Drosophila melanogaster: one gene and its partner. The protein of the gene in region 1 interacts with the protein of each later gene in a pairwise test. Each region holds a gene or a part of one and is shown on either strand. Other genes may lie near its edges. The genes, in order: lectin-33A and CG7191.

Region 1 (5,345 bases):
AATTAATCTAAATTTTTAAATTACCAAAGTGAGAGTGATGATAAATGTGAGTACAGAGGGCAAACCTTAGCTTGAGGATCGTAGTAGTAGCGCGAGACCAGCTTCAAGTCTAAGCCCTCCATGGCCCTGCGCAGTATGAGATTAAGGACCTGAAACTGCTCGGCATCCGTAGATTGCACAGATCCAACAGCCTTGATCTTAATTTCAATGTTTTCGCCAGCACGACTCTTCGTAACCAGTTCCAAAACATAGGGGCTATCTTGAACAGCTTTGAACTGATTGATGCAAAACATATTGGTTCCGTCAAAGATGTAGCCGCCCAGGATCCCTTTATGTTCATACAAGAAAGACCGTCGCAGTCGTGTAGCCTCCACATCAGGCGTAAAATCGACGCGGTACTGGTAGATGGTCCAGTTTGGACGCTTTAATACCTTAAAATAGTTTGCCTGCACGGTAATATGAGTGCCAACCACTCCTTTCTTGCTGGTCATCCCTGGAGGACGTGAATACACCAAATCCGTTATTAGCCTACGGCCGCGCACGGAGCCACGCGGATCGCCTGAATTAAATTACTAATTAATTACGAACGCATTGAAAACAAATGAGAATAACAACAGCTCACAGAAGCTGGGTTCGAAAAAAAAAAAAACAAATTTTTTTGAGCAAAACCAAATAAAACTACTAACCCTCGGACTTGTGCATTTGCACCGCGCTCAAACTGGATTTCTCTATCGAGGGACCCACTTGAGCATCACCACCACCACCATTGCCTCCGGATGCTTGATTTCCTTCCGAGTGGGAAGGGTCCGACTTCTGACCCTGCGAATGAATTGGTTAAAAAATTGATTATTTAATCTAATTACACTTATTTTATAACAAAGTGTTATTTAATTAGCATGTATTTGTTTTTATTGTCACATGCATATTAATAAACTGTTATAACAACTCATGGCAAAATGATGTACAAACATGCTATTCGACCTTAACGTATTACAAAAATGTAATGTAATGTACAAACGATGTACACACAATAACATTATGCATACATACATTTGATACGCATGCTGATCTTACATAGAAATTGAAATGGGATGCACATTAAAAGACAAGGCCAAGCTAATTTTGGATAAGTTGGATAAAAATAAAACATGAAAATACATAAATGCCTACCAGCGAAGGAGCGAAGCCGCGATTGGCCTCTACATTATTGGGCTTTCTTCCTCGACCACGTCCACGAGCAATTACAGGGTTTGGTGGTAAATTCATAATTACACAAATTACAGTTGCACTTTCTTACGATCTACTCGTCACAAATGCCGTTCAGTGAATAAGAGATAACAGAAATTACCGGGTAGTTGTTAGACGCCCAGGGATGTGAGTTATTCCTTCAGTTATCGGTCGCGCTTAAAGCGATTAATTGTAAATCTCCGGACACATTTGCAAAGATGTAGCTTATACTTACTATTTATTGTATATATTATCTATATATCAAGTCATAAAACAAAAATAAAATTAATATGAAATTATTTATTTTAACGTTTAAATGTTTGAAGGTGGTACTTATTGAAAAGGCATCGTTGAATTCAAAACAAGGTCTATATAACGAGATATCTCAGTGGAACAATTGGAATTTTGACAGGTGTAATTCCATAATTCCAAATTTTTATAAGATCTTTCATATTAAAATTATAAGTTCTTTTTTTATATTCCTTTGTGCAATTTAAATGTAAAAGGGGCGTATGTGCCATCGTCCAGATGGCATAGTAAATTAACAGGCTTTGAATATTTTTGTAATAAATGATAATGATAAATTCGCAGTCGTTGTACATGCTTGCCATTTTCGCACTGATTGCCCTAATTTGCTTAAGATAACGTTAATAAATATTATCTCCCGACTGCTTGCAATAAAATATAGTTCTCTGCCGAGCGTTTAAAAGTAGCTAGCTTTCATATAAACATATCAGTTGGCCCTAAAACATGAGCATGTGCATCAAAGGGTCTTTCGGTTTCCTTCTTATAGCTCTGATTCTCGAATGTGCCAATGCACAGACGTGTCCGTTGCCGTTTAGTCGAGTCGGAAACAAGTGCTACCACGTATCTTTGCAGGAGGTGCGTACAATACGTTGTACAAGGATTTTATTTAAACGCAAAAATATTATTTCAGGCCAACTGGCATGTTGCCGATCGAAGCTGTCGAAAACTTGGTGCCGAACTAATGGTGCTCGACAATCAAGAGGACAAACTCCTCACAACCACGTTCCTAAAGAGTATGGGGCTATCCTTCACCCAAAGCTGGCATCACTCCGTTTGGGCTGGCATCAATTGCTTGGGTAACCGGCGCACCTTTCTTCTCGCCAGGAACGGCGAAACTGTGCCGTACCTAAACTGGGTACCCCTGGAACCGAACAACGCTTCCCCCGAAGAGGATTGTGTTGGATTCGCCAATTACAATGGAGCCTTTGGGTATCACGATATAGAGTGCAAGGTTCAGTTTCCATATGTGTGCCAGAGGGAACCAGCAGAGGACTACCTCTGCCTTAAGCGGGATCTCTTCCTAAAGGTCCTTTTGTAGTGCTTTCAATCTCAAGTTATCATGAACTTATGAAACCTTGCAAATAAATAAATAAGATAAATAACACAATCTTACCAACGAATTTTCAACCAATCATCACTTTTTTAGTGGAGCATTGTGATAAAATCTGAATACATTATATTACAAAAGTTTAAAGACACTAAATTTCTTATTGAAAGTTTCGGCCGTTGGTTTTTTTTTATTAACATTTTAGGTTGAAACACATTCCAAAAGTCTAAGACTCTAGCTTCACAACGGTCGTCTTCTCGGACACGTACAGACCGTCAAGGAACTTACGGATATCCTTGTTCTTGACGGTCGTGGACTGCTGGATGAGGGCGGCAGATCCGGAGACAGACTCAATATCGTTTCCCTCCACGATAAGTTCGTCCTTCTGGGCAGTGGAGTTGACCACGGTGACGCCAGGAGCCATCTCCACACGACGGATGTACTTCTCACCCAAGAAGTTACGGATCTCAATGACCGTGTTGTTCTCGGAGGTGACACAGTTGATGGGGAAATGGGCGTACACAGCACGCATCTTGTACTGGAATCCAAACGTGACTCCTGGCGAGAGAGAAATTGCAATTAATTGTGTGGTACTTTGAATGCAAATGTCTTTAGGAACCTAATGCCGAATCTAATTTGCCAGCACACACTGAAAATATTTACTAACTACTATATAGCATTTTTAGGTAATTTGTAAAGAAAATTGATATCTATGAATGGAGTTTAGTAAATCGTCTTCCCAGATATTATTATTAAATTCTCGTGTGATTGGCAAATGAAAGGCCTGGCTGTGAAAGTGTTCCTGTTGTGTTTACCCTAGCTGTACGCACCCTTGATCATGTTCTCGATGTGACTGCAGACGGTGCGGACGGCGGCCAACTCCTTCTTGGTTCCGAACCACTTCTCCACCTTCAGGGTGCGCTTGTCGGGCATGTACATGTCCAGAGCCAAGTGCTTGAAGCTGCGCTTCAGGGTGCCGCGGGTGCCGGTGATGGTCACCACACGGGCCTTCACCGAGGCCTTGATATCCTTAGGGATCTTCACGCACTGGTTGGAATTAATGGTACGCATCTTGATGACACTGTCGGCAAAAACATTAATTATTAGTTTATCAAGGCTACAAGTGCTTGTCACAGAGCATTCCAAACATCGAATCGCAGAGTTCACATCGGGCTAACAAAACGTGCGCTGCCTATTGTTTTCCAATTTGTTTATGGATCATCCATCCCAGCGGAAATGGAAAAACGGCGGCTCTTCAGTGCCACACGCCAATTGCCGTTTCACTCGATTCGATGTTTTGGGGCGCTTTTTCACACAAAACTTACGCTCCGTTAGTCCCTCGTTTGTATGACACAAATTCTGGATGGACTCCTCGCTGCAAGGGGTGGTTTTAGAGATATTTTGGGTTAAAATTTCAATAAAAATATAACGCGGAACACACTACTCACCGGAAACGGGGAAAAGAAAAGAAGGGAAATTTAATGTGGCTGTGTGAGGCGCACAAAATGCGCTAAATTTTGAGCGCCATGTGCCGTTGGGGTGCTGTTAACGTTACGCATTGTGCTGTTAAGCGCTAGAGTTTCTGTGTTGAGTTACAGTAGTCTTTTTTTTTTTTTTTGAAAAGAAGGCTTAAATCAAGTCTATTTGGGAAAGCGGAAAGTGGATTTTAATCACAATTATAAAATCCATTGGCAAAGCTTCGAAATGCTGAATTCATTCAGTAGTTTGAGGTTTTACCGATTTTAGAGAATAACACACCTGTTGCGCTCAACTGAGTTATACTCTTCACATTCTAATATTTTTATATTCTCAAAAGTTTCCGGCATGGGAAGTGCTTTTTTTATTATACTTGTATTAGCACAGTTACTGTTTATATAAAATTATCAACGTTTTTTCAAAGTATTTAAGCCCACTGAATATGCCTACTAAAACCATTATTGTCTATTAATATACGCGTCCTTATCATATAATATATATTAGCAGTAAAAGAAATTATTATTAAAATATTAATTTCATGCACGTTTGCAAATGTTTCTTGTGACAGACGATTTCATAATACCCCGCTAAGGCGCCTGAAATTGTGAAATCCATTAATATTCAATCGAAATATACCAAAACAATACCGAGAATGTGAGGATATCTGGTAACACTTAGCAGAAGGCGGGAGCGTGGGTACATTGAGCATCAGTCGACCAAATCTTCAGATTAGTTTGTAGTTTCATCCCAAAACAGTGGTCTGACGGCATTTTAAGTTAGCATTGCACCCGAGTTAGCCCGCCTCATCACAGTTTTCAGCACGATGACTCTTCCGCAAGCACAGCTGGACTTTTTCACGACGGCGACCAGTATGCTGGAATGGCATTACAATCTGGAGAGAAATAAGCCGGGTCTGCTGGAAGTATGTATTGGATACGGATGTTTATCAGCTTCTCCTCCTTTAATGATACGTTCTTTGTAGCTGACCGGCGTTAGCCAGCATGGGCGGGCCACGATGAGCGGACTTAATGACTACGATTACCAGAGCCTGTCGTTTTTGAAATCGGATAGAACACATAACCTACAACAAATGCGAACGGTGACCAAGTCGGCTATTCCCAACGAGATTCTGGAGCACTTTAAGCGTACGTATCCTGGGCTTCATAGCCCATAGATCTATCCGTTCCAATCTTCGATCCTACCTGTTGTAGACATAAAATGCCACTGCACCATGGGCCTCTTTCCGGAAATCGGACGTGCCTGGCTGACTATCGATTCGGAAATCTAC
Region 2 (9,865 bases), 3.2 Mb from region 1:
GCCATCAGCCTGACGCTGGCCAAGCAGCAGTACGCCGAGGAACTGGAGGCCGAAATGGAGGACGAGTTCAATCGAGGTCTGCTCATCTCCAAGCAGCAGTACGATCAGCTGCGCTTCGAGGATGAGAAGATCGTGGCGCTCAGAAATGCCAAGGTGAGTCCATCAAAATGTTCACATTAATTTATATTTTTATACTATTATTTTTCGATCAGGATATTCGCGAGCTGTATCAACTGGCCGAGGAGATCATCATGGGTGAGAACTACGTCGAGGCACCGGAGGAGTGCGAGGAGGAGGCGGTGGTGGAGGAGCCGGAACAAGATATCTCCTCCGATCACGAGGCCCAGGAGCCAGCCAAAGCCTAATGAGAAGCTATAGAATAAAACCATTTTTTACGTTCGGTGGACAGCGGCTGGTCGTTTATCCTGCTGCACCAGTTTTTAGCGAGTTCTACAATATTTGGCAAAATATTTGGTTTCCCATCCATGAGAGTCCAGATATTTCACCAAATCGTGCAAACATCAATTAGGCTGGGGTACCTACCACAGTTTGTTAGACGTCGGAAGAGGTAGCGCAATCGAAAAACGTTAGCTAAACTGTCACTCAATCTCAGCGTTTAGGTTGATAACTTGATAACTGTCAATGGGGTTTAATTAAAGCTGTAACGACTTGATTGTACCCGCATGACAACAAAAATAAAGCGGCCGAAAAATCCAAAAACAAACGCGTGAGTCAATTGCACATTTCACTCGCCAACGCCCGACAAGTATGCTACAAATATTTGCTCAGCGATACGGATATGCGTAACGGAAAGATATGCGGGCCAAATAGTGTTCTGAAAACCGAATCCTCGAAAGAAGATTACACGGAAAACTAATTTAGTAAATGATAAGGTCCGCTGAGTTTTCATGTGTATAATGATTTTTGGGTAATGATTTATTTTATTTATTTTTACAAATAAATGTATATGATGATATATATTAATTTCATTATAACTTCATAAGAAATATATTTATATATGACATATCAGGCTCTGTTTCCCGGAACACCAACCACAAATTTCAGAGTAATTAGCTGCGCTAATTTGTTTATCATTTTGTTTGGCACGTCGGCACATGGCGAGATTGCATGTGCCAAACCAGAAGGGCGTGACGCATTTGGATGAATCGGTGGCCATTTGGGTGGGTGGACTTCGGACTGATGCAACTTAAGTCGCACAATCCGCTTGCCATAAGGAGCGTAAAGTATGAAGAAGTGGAGGAGAGCGAACGAAATAAATAAAGACGACTATAAATAGCAGGTTCTGGCCAAAAATATGACTTTTGCCGCGCTACATGAGGAAGCCTCCATCCAGTGACACTTTCCCCTGCCCGCGAGCACTTAAACTTTTCAGCGGGCTATTATTGGTTTTCTCTGCGTAAGTGTCATCTTCTGTTGCCCCAGGCGATTTTCAAGAAAACCCTATATATGCTTATTTTCCCGGCCCGCCTTTTAGGCCAAAACAACACACAGTCACACACACATACATACACACACTCAAAACAATAACGAAAACATCGAAGGATCGTTTGGATTGCCCTCCATTACTAACGGCAATTTCACATTAAAGTGTCATCATTTTCAAGGCCTGCGGGCTGCGACGGTTGTTGACATCCGACTGGATGGATGTCCAGACCCTTCGATTCCTCCTCTGCGATTGCCGTGTTCCTTTTGGATTTGCAGTTCAACTGGGAGTCGGACGGAAAGGATGGACTATTGGCCGAGGCCATTGCCGTTTAAGTTTAGGCAGCAAATGTTTTAAATATACACATTAGCTATAAATATAAAATTTGATTATTTTTTAATAAACGCCAATAGAAGGTAAAAAAAAAACAGACATCAAACCCTTTCGAATTAAATTTTATGAGTTTACCACATTTAAATAGATTTTTTATCTTTTTCCAGTATTTATCAGCCTGACTGATAGGCTATATCATCATCGATCTATAAATATAATCGTTGCCTAATTCATAAGTGCAGCAATATGACAATACCATTTTGCACTGGAATATGACAATGCAATTACATTTAGGCGATTCGCTGGAAATTTTCAAATACATTTCCAAACTACCGGCCTGCAGGGATTTCCGCAGCGTCATGCTTGGCAGGTCCTTTGAGGAACTTTGAGACCTCCCACAGAAAGGCGAGATTCCGAGAAACGAGTGACCCGGACTATTCAGAATACGTTTCCGTAAACAGGGCCGTCAACAAAGGCTTCTATCCACCCCAACCCGCAGATAATTTATCACCTTGCCACGTGACGTCTTTTCGCGACTTGTTGTCTACTTTGCGGCGCATATCGTGATCCTGCTGAATAATTGCCACCGACATTATTCATTCGCGAATATCGCGCTAAACTTTTTAAATGTCCCCAAAATATTTCATTGATAAAAACGGCCGTGGCTTCGTTTTCCAAGGAGGAGTGGCCAGTAAAAGCTTGTTTGAAGCTTTTACGCAATTTTTGGCGCCTTTACATCGGCTCGTTGAAATCGACGCACTCGTCATCGGCCGACGATGGCAACGAATCGGTTTCAACTTCGGATGCGGCCTTATAAAAGGAAGCGGCTCCGCGAGTCAACCACGCAGTGTTCAACAAGTAGTAGGTGCAACAGTTGACAGTATTCCGATTCTGATTCCGATTCAGTAACTCAAACGGTTTCCAGGAATATATTTTAAAGTGAGTGTTAACGGTGTATTTCGAATATCAGTCACGCCAAACTCTTTAAGAAGTTTCCAAAAAATATCTTGTGGTCTGTGTTTAATTTAAGCCAGTCGATTTCATAAAAAGGATAACTAAACGTGACGTGAAATCTTAGTAATGCCGTCGCTTTCGTCATCGATTACAGTGTCGTCAATGAAACTCGAAATACGCGCCTAAAAAAATAAATAACAATTTGTGGACATATATTAAATATGCCAAATAAGAACAGGAGAACTCTTATATTTAAAACTATTAAGTGAATTCGTTCTTAATAATACAGAAATATTTTTAAGGCAAAGAAAAGCCAGCTAAAACTTAATTCATTAATTCAGTACTTTTTCTTTGGTAAATTATTTTAATCTGCTCTTATATTTTGAATTGTATCAGAAGATATTTAACACAAAACTACCTTTGGCTTAAAACTGAAAATTACCATAAAGATAGAGCCTAGCCATTGTAAGTTCTCTTCAAAAATAAAAGTAAAATTTTCTTATTTTATTTCACCAACGCTTTTTACAAGAAAACCCCATTTATATGATTAATTTTATATATTATACTAATCTTGTAAATGTTTAACTACAATAATTTATTTTTATTAATTTATTAAAGTTCAAGCTTTTTAAGCACAGAGCATCACAGCTGAACTAGTTAAATTTAAAAATTCATTTCATTGCACTGGTGAGCTTACAAATTTTGGGAAAATTGGTTTTAAGGTTACTCGGGACAGCAATCCATAAATACTTTATCAATGTCAATAACTCAAGGAATTCCCACCAATGCCAAACACAAATGTCAATAAACCAATGAAAATCTAGGAGAAACAAATAGAAAAAAGCATCAATATTTGTTGTCCCCGACCTCGTTCTCTGTTTCAAACCCCTTAAGTTCCACGTGCAAAAATTCCTGACAATCGTATAGAAATTTAAAAAAAAAAACTGAATCAATCGAAAGCATTCCAAAGCTGTTTTCATGTCACAAAAATTCAGCATCCCACAGGATTTTCTCCTGGAGAATGTATTTACTGAAATTGGTTGTGCTATTTCTTTAGACATAGCAACTGAAAAGTATATCTAGAGGTATTGACTTACATTCCGCAGGCTATACTTTTCATTAAAGATTAGTACACGATTTTGTAGTTGGCGAGGATTTAAAACTGCAAAAAAAATACTTATGAATTTCATGGAATTTTCTTGGCTAGCACCCTTTTTTTGATTTTTCGTAGCAATCATTGCCGTCTGTCTGGTCCTTTGGTTTGGCTCAAACACTTTGTGTAACCTTTTGTGTGCAAATTTTGACAAGTATCCCAGATGGTCGGATTCAATAAGTAGAAAAGTTATGTAATATCCTACCCAGGATTGTTACGCACGTAGACCGTGTCTAATTGGCCGGACTCCGGCGACAAAATGTCCGATGCACTTGACCAACTCCACATCCTTAGCCCTAATTAAGCAGTTTTTCCGCCACACATGTCCAGGTGGTACGTAGGCGAATATAGTGGCAGATAAGGCCTATGAAAATTCCTTTGGGTTCGTGTGCGTTTCGGTTACACTTCAACTCAATTTAGCAATTAGCTGTGCGGTTATTGCGAAAAGGAAAACAGGCGACGGGTAAAAATGAACGTACAATTATATATGGGTTCCTGAAACTTCCCTCGCTTCCAAGTTAATTTCATTTTACCTTGGGGACATCGCCAACCAGGGTGAATTCCCTTCTTTTGCTTTTTTTTTCCTATTTTTTGTTTTTTGGGCTCTGTCCACTTTTTGACACTGTGTCAACAAGTTAATTAAGGCATTTTAACAACGATTCGTGTTTGCTTTGTTTACTTATAATTCGTTCTCTCCGCAGCAATTTCGAATAAGTTGTGCTTTCCCAAAAATAACGCCAAAGTGTCGCCCACTTAAGTGAGTGCCAATAAAAGAGGAGTAATTGAAAAAGTTTTCTTGCAGGAAATGCCCGAAGAAATTGCAATTTATTTCCAAAATTAATACCAAAAAAAAACAGGAAAATCGCAATGCACTTAAAGACCTAAATCTACGAGAGAACATTGTTCGCAAATATTTTGACAAAGTTGCAAATTTTCAATTGAATTTAATCAAAACGTGACGAAAAGTGAAAAGAAAATCATCCACAGAGAATTTCTCTTTCTCCGAGCAATTTTAATGAACCAAATGCAACCGTCTTTATTTTTTTGAGAGGGCGTGACAGAGTTGATTTGCTTGATTGATTTATGTGGTTAACTAACCATATAAATTGAGCTAATTTCAATGTATTTATCTGTGAGGTAGAACAGATTTTCTGGAAAATATTTTAATAAAGATTAATATTATTAAATTATAGAATTATGTAATAAATTATAATTCCTTAAAAAAACAGACGCTTAAACTTTCGCAGCAAACAGCGCTTTAATTATTTACCAAGCCCTTAATTAAATAATGAACTTTGGATTTCTTGGTGAAAATTTTCACACTTTTTTGTCGAAATTTGTCTTAGGCATACATTATTTTCAGTTGCTTGGGCAGACAAATTAAGCCGATCCTAGACATCTCAACCAGCGAGACCGCAAGTGCCAAAAGTTTCAGGCAACTCATTTATATTGCTCGTCAAGCGAATGTTTTTTAAACGCAAAAAAATGCGATAAGGTTGGCGGGTTTCCCCAAAACCCCAACAACCAGGCTCCTGAGCTAAATGGGCTAAAAATACGCTGCGAAGGAGTTAAGCCCACTCGCTCACTTCGGCGACGTCCCATCCTTAATTAAATGAAACGACAAAGCGCACAGAGTGGGCCCAGTATGAACCGCGATGCAGTACCTGACATAAAAAATATTTATAAAAGCACACAAACACCTACTGCACAGTGGTGGAAATCTATGCGAAAAGTAATAGCATTCTTATCAATTTTAATTAGAAACATCTTTCGTTAAAATCTACAAGAATTATAGAGTAGCTTTCATTTGTCTATAAATAAATGGGATGTTAAAAATTAGGCAGTACTTTTTAATATTCGAATATTAATATAAATATATTATTTTTCTGATAGTTGAATTGTGTAATTTCTACTTTATAAACAACATACTGCATCCGTCTTTGTTATTAACTATTTGTCTGCAAAGTACACAACCTTTATATTTTTACCCAATTTTTAAATAACGGCCTTAGTTAGTGGAAAAGGAGTAGAATTTGTTTGCCCGTATGGCCCACGGTTCTTCGCGCGAAGAAAGATTAAGCAGGAGCGCAAAACAAAAGCCCCAGAATCAGCCGCCAAGTTATCCAAGAGACGCCCTTTTGACGTTTGGCACCCACCGCCCATTTCTCCAGTTTCCCTCGCGATTCTCCTACTTTTGGCGGGGGTTTCTTGGTTGCTTGCGTGTTTATCTGAGTATTGTTTGCTTGAGCACAAAGAGACGCCCACACGCACGGCATAATGGGGCGGATGGGGTAGGTATCCATCCCATGGCCGTGGTAGTGACGGTAATTACCCTCTTGTACAAACATCTACGCTTTTTTTTTTTTTGCCTTCCAGAGACATCCACATCGCCAACGACCCGCGCACTAATCCCGAGCTCATCCGCAGAGGCTGTATGAACATGAAGCCCGACATCCTAGCGCTCTGCATCCTGGCTACCACGATCCTGTGCAGCAGGACGCGTCACGTCGCCGGCTTCCTGACTGCACAGTCCACCGCCAGCGGAGGAGCAGGCGGAGCAAACGGTGCCAAAGTGGGTGACCATCAGGGCGTGGCGTCCGTACCACAACGTCTTCATTTGCCCGTTCTAGCGGTCGGGGGCGGACCCGTTCGCCAAGGACCCGCTCTGCCCGGCGATGTCCTGGATGCCCAGGAACGAGCTGTTTACGATCCCGGCGATGGTGAGTCATAAACATCCCTATTACCGCTTTCCTTGCCATGGTAAACTTCCCGGGCATCAGCTAATCCCCAGTCGAATTAAAAGGATAGCAACTGCATCCAAAGACCATTTCAATTAAATTGTTATCGGGTTCTTTTTGAATGCGAAGACGTAATCGTGGTCAAGGTGAATCCTATAACCAAGCTATTCCATCGCCCTATAAAAATATATAGACCTTATTTATATTAGCCAAATTAATAGGCATTCTGATCCATAAAGCTGAGGAACTGGAACTGAATCTGTTCAGGAACTTTAATAAATGAACTAGTTATTTTGTTGTCATTTAGCTATTTTTCTAAAATATTTTCAATATTTAATGGCAGTTATGGCCTCCTATTTACTCCTCACCTGAGTACATGATTACGTTCAAAATTTTTGCTTGCCGACTTTTAGGCGACCCATTCGAAAGGGGTGGACCAAGAGTTAGGGTGACCCATGGCGTGCACTTAGCCGTAACCGTCGCCCACCATCTCTATCCCTAATGGCCATGGTGACCACCGCTCGCTGAACATTTTCGGTCAGTGCACAATTTTTCAAGTGCCTCACATTGTTGACCATCGCACAATATGTGGAGCATGTGTTTGTTTGTGCTGAGCACTTAAAACGCCCACCAAACTGCCCGGGATAGATTTTCAAATTTGTTGACGAATTTGATTCGACGTTTGCGTTTTACGTTGCTACCACCTACCTTCTACCAACCGGCAATAAAATGTCATATCCGATTTTCAATAAGCGAACTTGTTTTCCAAGCGATTTGATAGATGGGTAAATGGATTGGAAATTTAACGAATATCGATTTGGTTTGAGTTGGTAACATTTGAATTTTTGGACATGATCTTATAAACATACATATATGAAACAAAAATTTAAATTTATTTCTGTTTCTGATCTCGAAACTATTTATTTCAATTGAGGAGTCCTTAAATTTAAAACTGTAAATGCTTTGGGTTCATGAGCGTCCGCTGTCTGCGGCTCTTTGAAGAGACATCGAGTGGACAGTGATGGGCAGACTGGATGCCAAATGCGACAAAAGGCAGTCAAGGAGTTGCAGTGCCTGTTGACTTGACTGACGGACGTGGTCGAAAAGCCGAGAAGGCTTCCCCTGCCGCGGAGGGGAAAAGGAATGCTGTGGCCATAAACTCATTGCCGCCAGTCAATTTCCGCCAGTCCATTGAAACGACCGAAGAGCCGGGGGAAAACATATTCCAGCCAACCAGGACAGACAGACAAACAAACTATTCAAACTTTCAAATATCAAACGGCGGAAGTTTCCGATGGCAAGGAGCAGGAGTCGGGGAATTAAGTGGGAGTGGGAGTGGAAGTGGGAATGGGAATGGCAATGGCGTGGTTGTGGTCGGATTAGCGACAGCTTGAATAAACATTCAAATCGCAAATAAGGTCTTTGGCTTGCTCATTTCACGGCAGAATTACTCCGCGCCCAGGAGCTCGGATTGGCAGTGGTTCCTCAAGGTCCCGACTACGCGGATGCGGTGTACAACGAACTCGAGCTGGCCAGCAAGTTCGAGGTGCTCAAGAAGATGGAGGAGGATTTGCGTGCCGAGCAGGAGCTGGTGGACAAATCCGCTTTGCTCATGAAAATGCTGGAGGTGAGTGCGAAGACAGGCTGTCGAAATTTCGATGAAAATGTTGAAAAATACACGGTAAATTAAATTTTTTTAAAATATTAAACATAAACATCAAAACATATTAGCTTTTGCTTATAAATAACTTTTTGAGTAATGCATACTTAAGTGATAATATTTTTAATTTTTATTAAAATTTTAACACAATTTTTTGATCTATGTGCATTTTTTCGCTCAGGATCCCTCATTGGAAACCTTGCCCTTGGTCTACGTGGAGGAGGAGGAGCCGGAGGCTGTGATTCCTTCCGGCGGAGCCGAGGACTACGCCGACTTGGAGAACGCCGTTCAGGATTTGGTTTTGGGCCAGAGCAAATCCAAGCGTTCGCGCTACTATCGAAGGTATCCATGGAAGCGTCACAACAAGAATCGCGGGTAGGTTGCTTTTCTATATTTAAACATTATTCACAATAATCCGAAAATCCACCAAGCACTATACTCAGCTCCATTGACCGCTAATTAATCGAACCCACTTTTCATTTGTAGTTAGTAAATGTTGTCAGTAGTCTTTATGCAGTATTAAGTAGCATATTTTTAGAGCTTAGAACGGAAATCCTAAAATTGCCAATTTCAATACGTCTGCTTGGGAATGGAAAGATTTAATTTAAAGTAAAAATGTGATAAATTCAATTGCAACGAATTGACGTAAATCAAAAGCATGAACCTCGAAAGAAAAAATGCAAAGAATGGCAATTTCAGGAGCATCCTTGCCAAAACGCCCACCCACCAAGTAGTCTATTGAATTTGAACAACTTAATGTAATGCATTTATCAGAGTCTCTTTAGGCCCGAAAGGCGCCCAGACACCAGACACCCAGAACTTCCCACCGCCCACTGAGAGATCGATTATTGATTACTGATTACTGATAGCCGAAGCGTGAACGATTTTGCTAACTACATAACCATTACCATTATCAGTTCTTACATGAATTCTATCAACAGCAACTATGAACCGGAATTGCGTTATGCCTGCACACCTAGTAAGGAGGATATATTCAAGCTGCTGGTCAATCTGCACGAGAATCGCAAGGGCAATCACAGCAAGACGGTTAACTTCTGCAATCGAAAGCGTCCGGCCAAGGCGGTCTTCACCAACATTAGGTTCCTGGGCTAAGGCACAGGATCTGGGATGGAAGCCATTAGCCCACACACACACAGACACAGACACGACACTGACAGACACATATGTATACCAAGCATCAATTGTACATTGCTGACAAAGTCGAGCGCTAAACTGGAGAACAACAAGCACTAACAATTAGCCTAACTAATTTACTAACTACTTAACTTAACCCGTCTAAAAGAGCTAAACGAGCTGAACTAAAAATACTTCGTTATCTCACTAGGGCTAGAGACCCTTGTAAGCCTCCCCTAATTCCAATTGTAGACAATTAAAACTTTTATAACTCTCAATGTCTTGTATATACTAACGAAATAAACAAAGTTATAGTAGCTCGCTCCCTTTTGTTAATTTCATTGTGGTCGTCGCGTGTGCTAATCCAAACAATTCCAAAACGTTGCCATATCACTCTAAAGTCTCGTAACGTCTTCTCGGTCCATTACACTATTATTATAATGAGATAA

What was found.
Region 2: the proteins of lectin-33A (region 1) and CG7191 interact in a two-hybrid assay, tested with the Drosophila melanogaster proteins (one large-scale study listed by BioGRID).

What each region holds. Positions count from the first base shown.
Region 1 is NT_033779.5:11,000,100-11,005,444, forward strand, and holds lectin-33A (lectin-33A), read left to right. Parts: upstream 1-1,972; 5' UTR 1,973-1,983; coding exon 1,984-2,109; intron 2,110-2,164; coding exon 2,165-2,572; 3' UTR 2,573-2,639; downstream 2,640-5,345. Other genes in the region: aub (aubergine), read right to left, coding at 1-7, 66-559, 687-819, 1,171-1,266; RpL9 (ribosomal protein L9), read right to left, coding at 2,808-3,139, 3,412-3,652; Nup154 (nucleoporin 154kD), read left to right, coding at 4,881-4,979, 5,040-5,202, 5,269-5,345.
Region 2 is NT_033779.5:7,765,002-7,774,866, forward strand, and holds the start of CG7191 (uncharacterized protein), read left to right. Parts: upstream 1-2,626; 5' UTR 2,627-2,716; intron 2,717-6,260; 5' UTR 6,261-6,318; coding exon 6,319-6,604; intron 6,605-8,067; coding exon 8,068-8,249; intron 8,250-8,463; coding exon 8,464-8,657; intron 8,658-9,199; coding exon 9,200-9,395; 3' UTR 9,396-9,865. Other genes in the region: CG46025 (uncharacterized protein), read left to right, coding at 1-153, 213-365.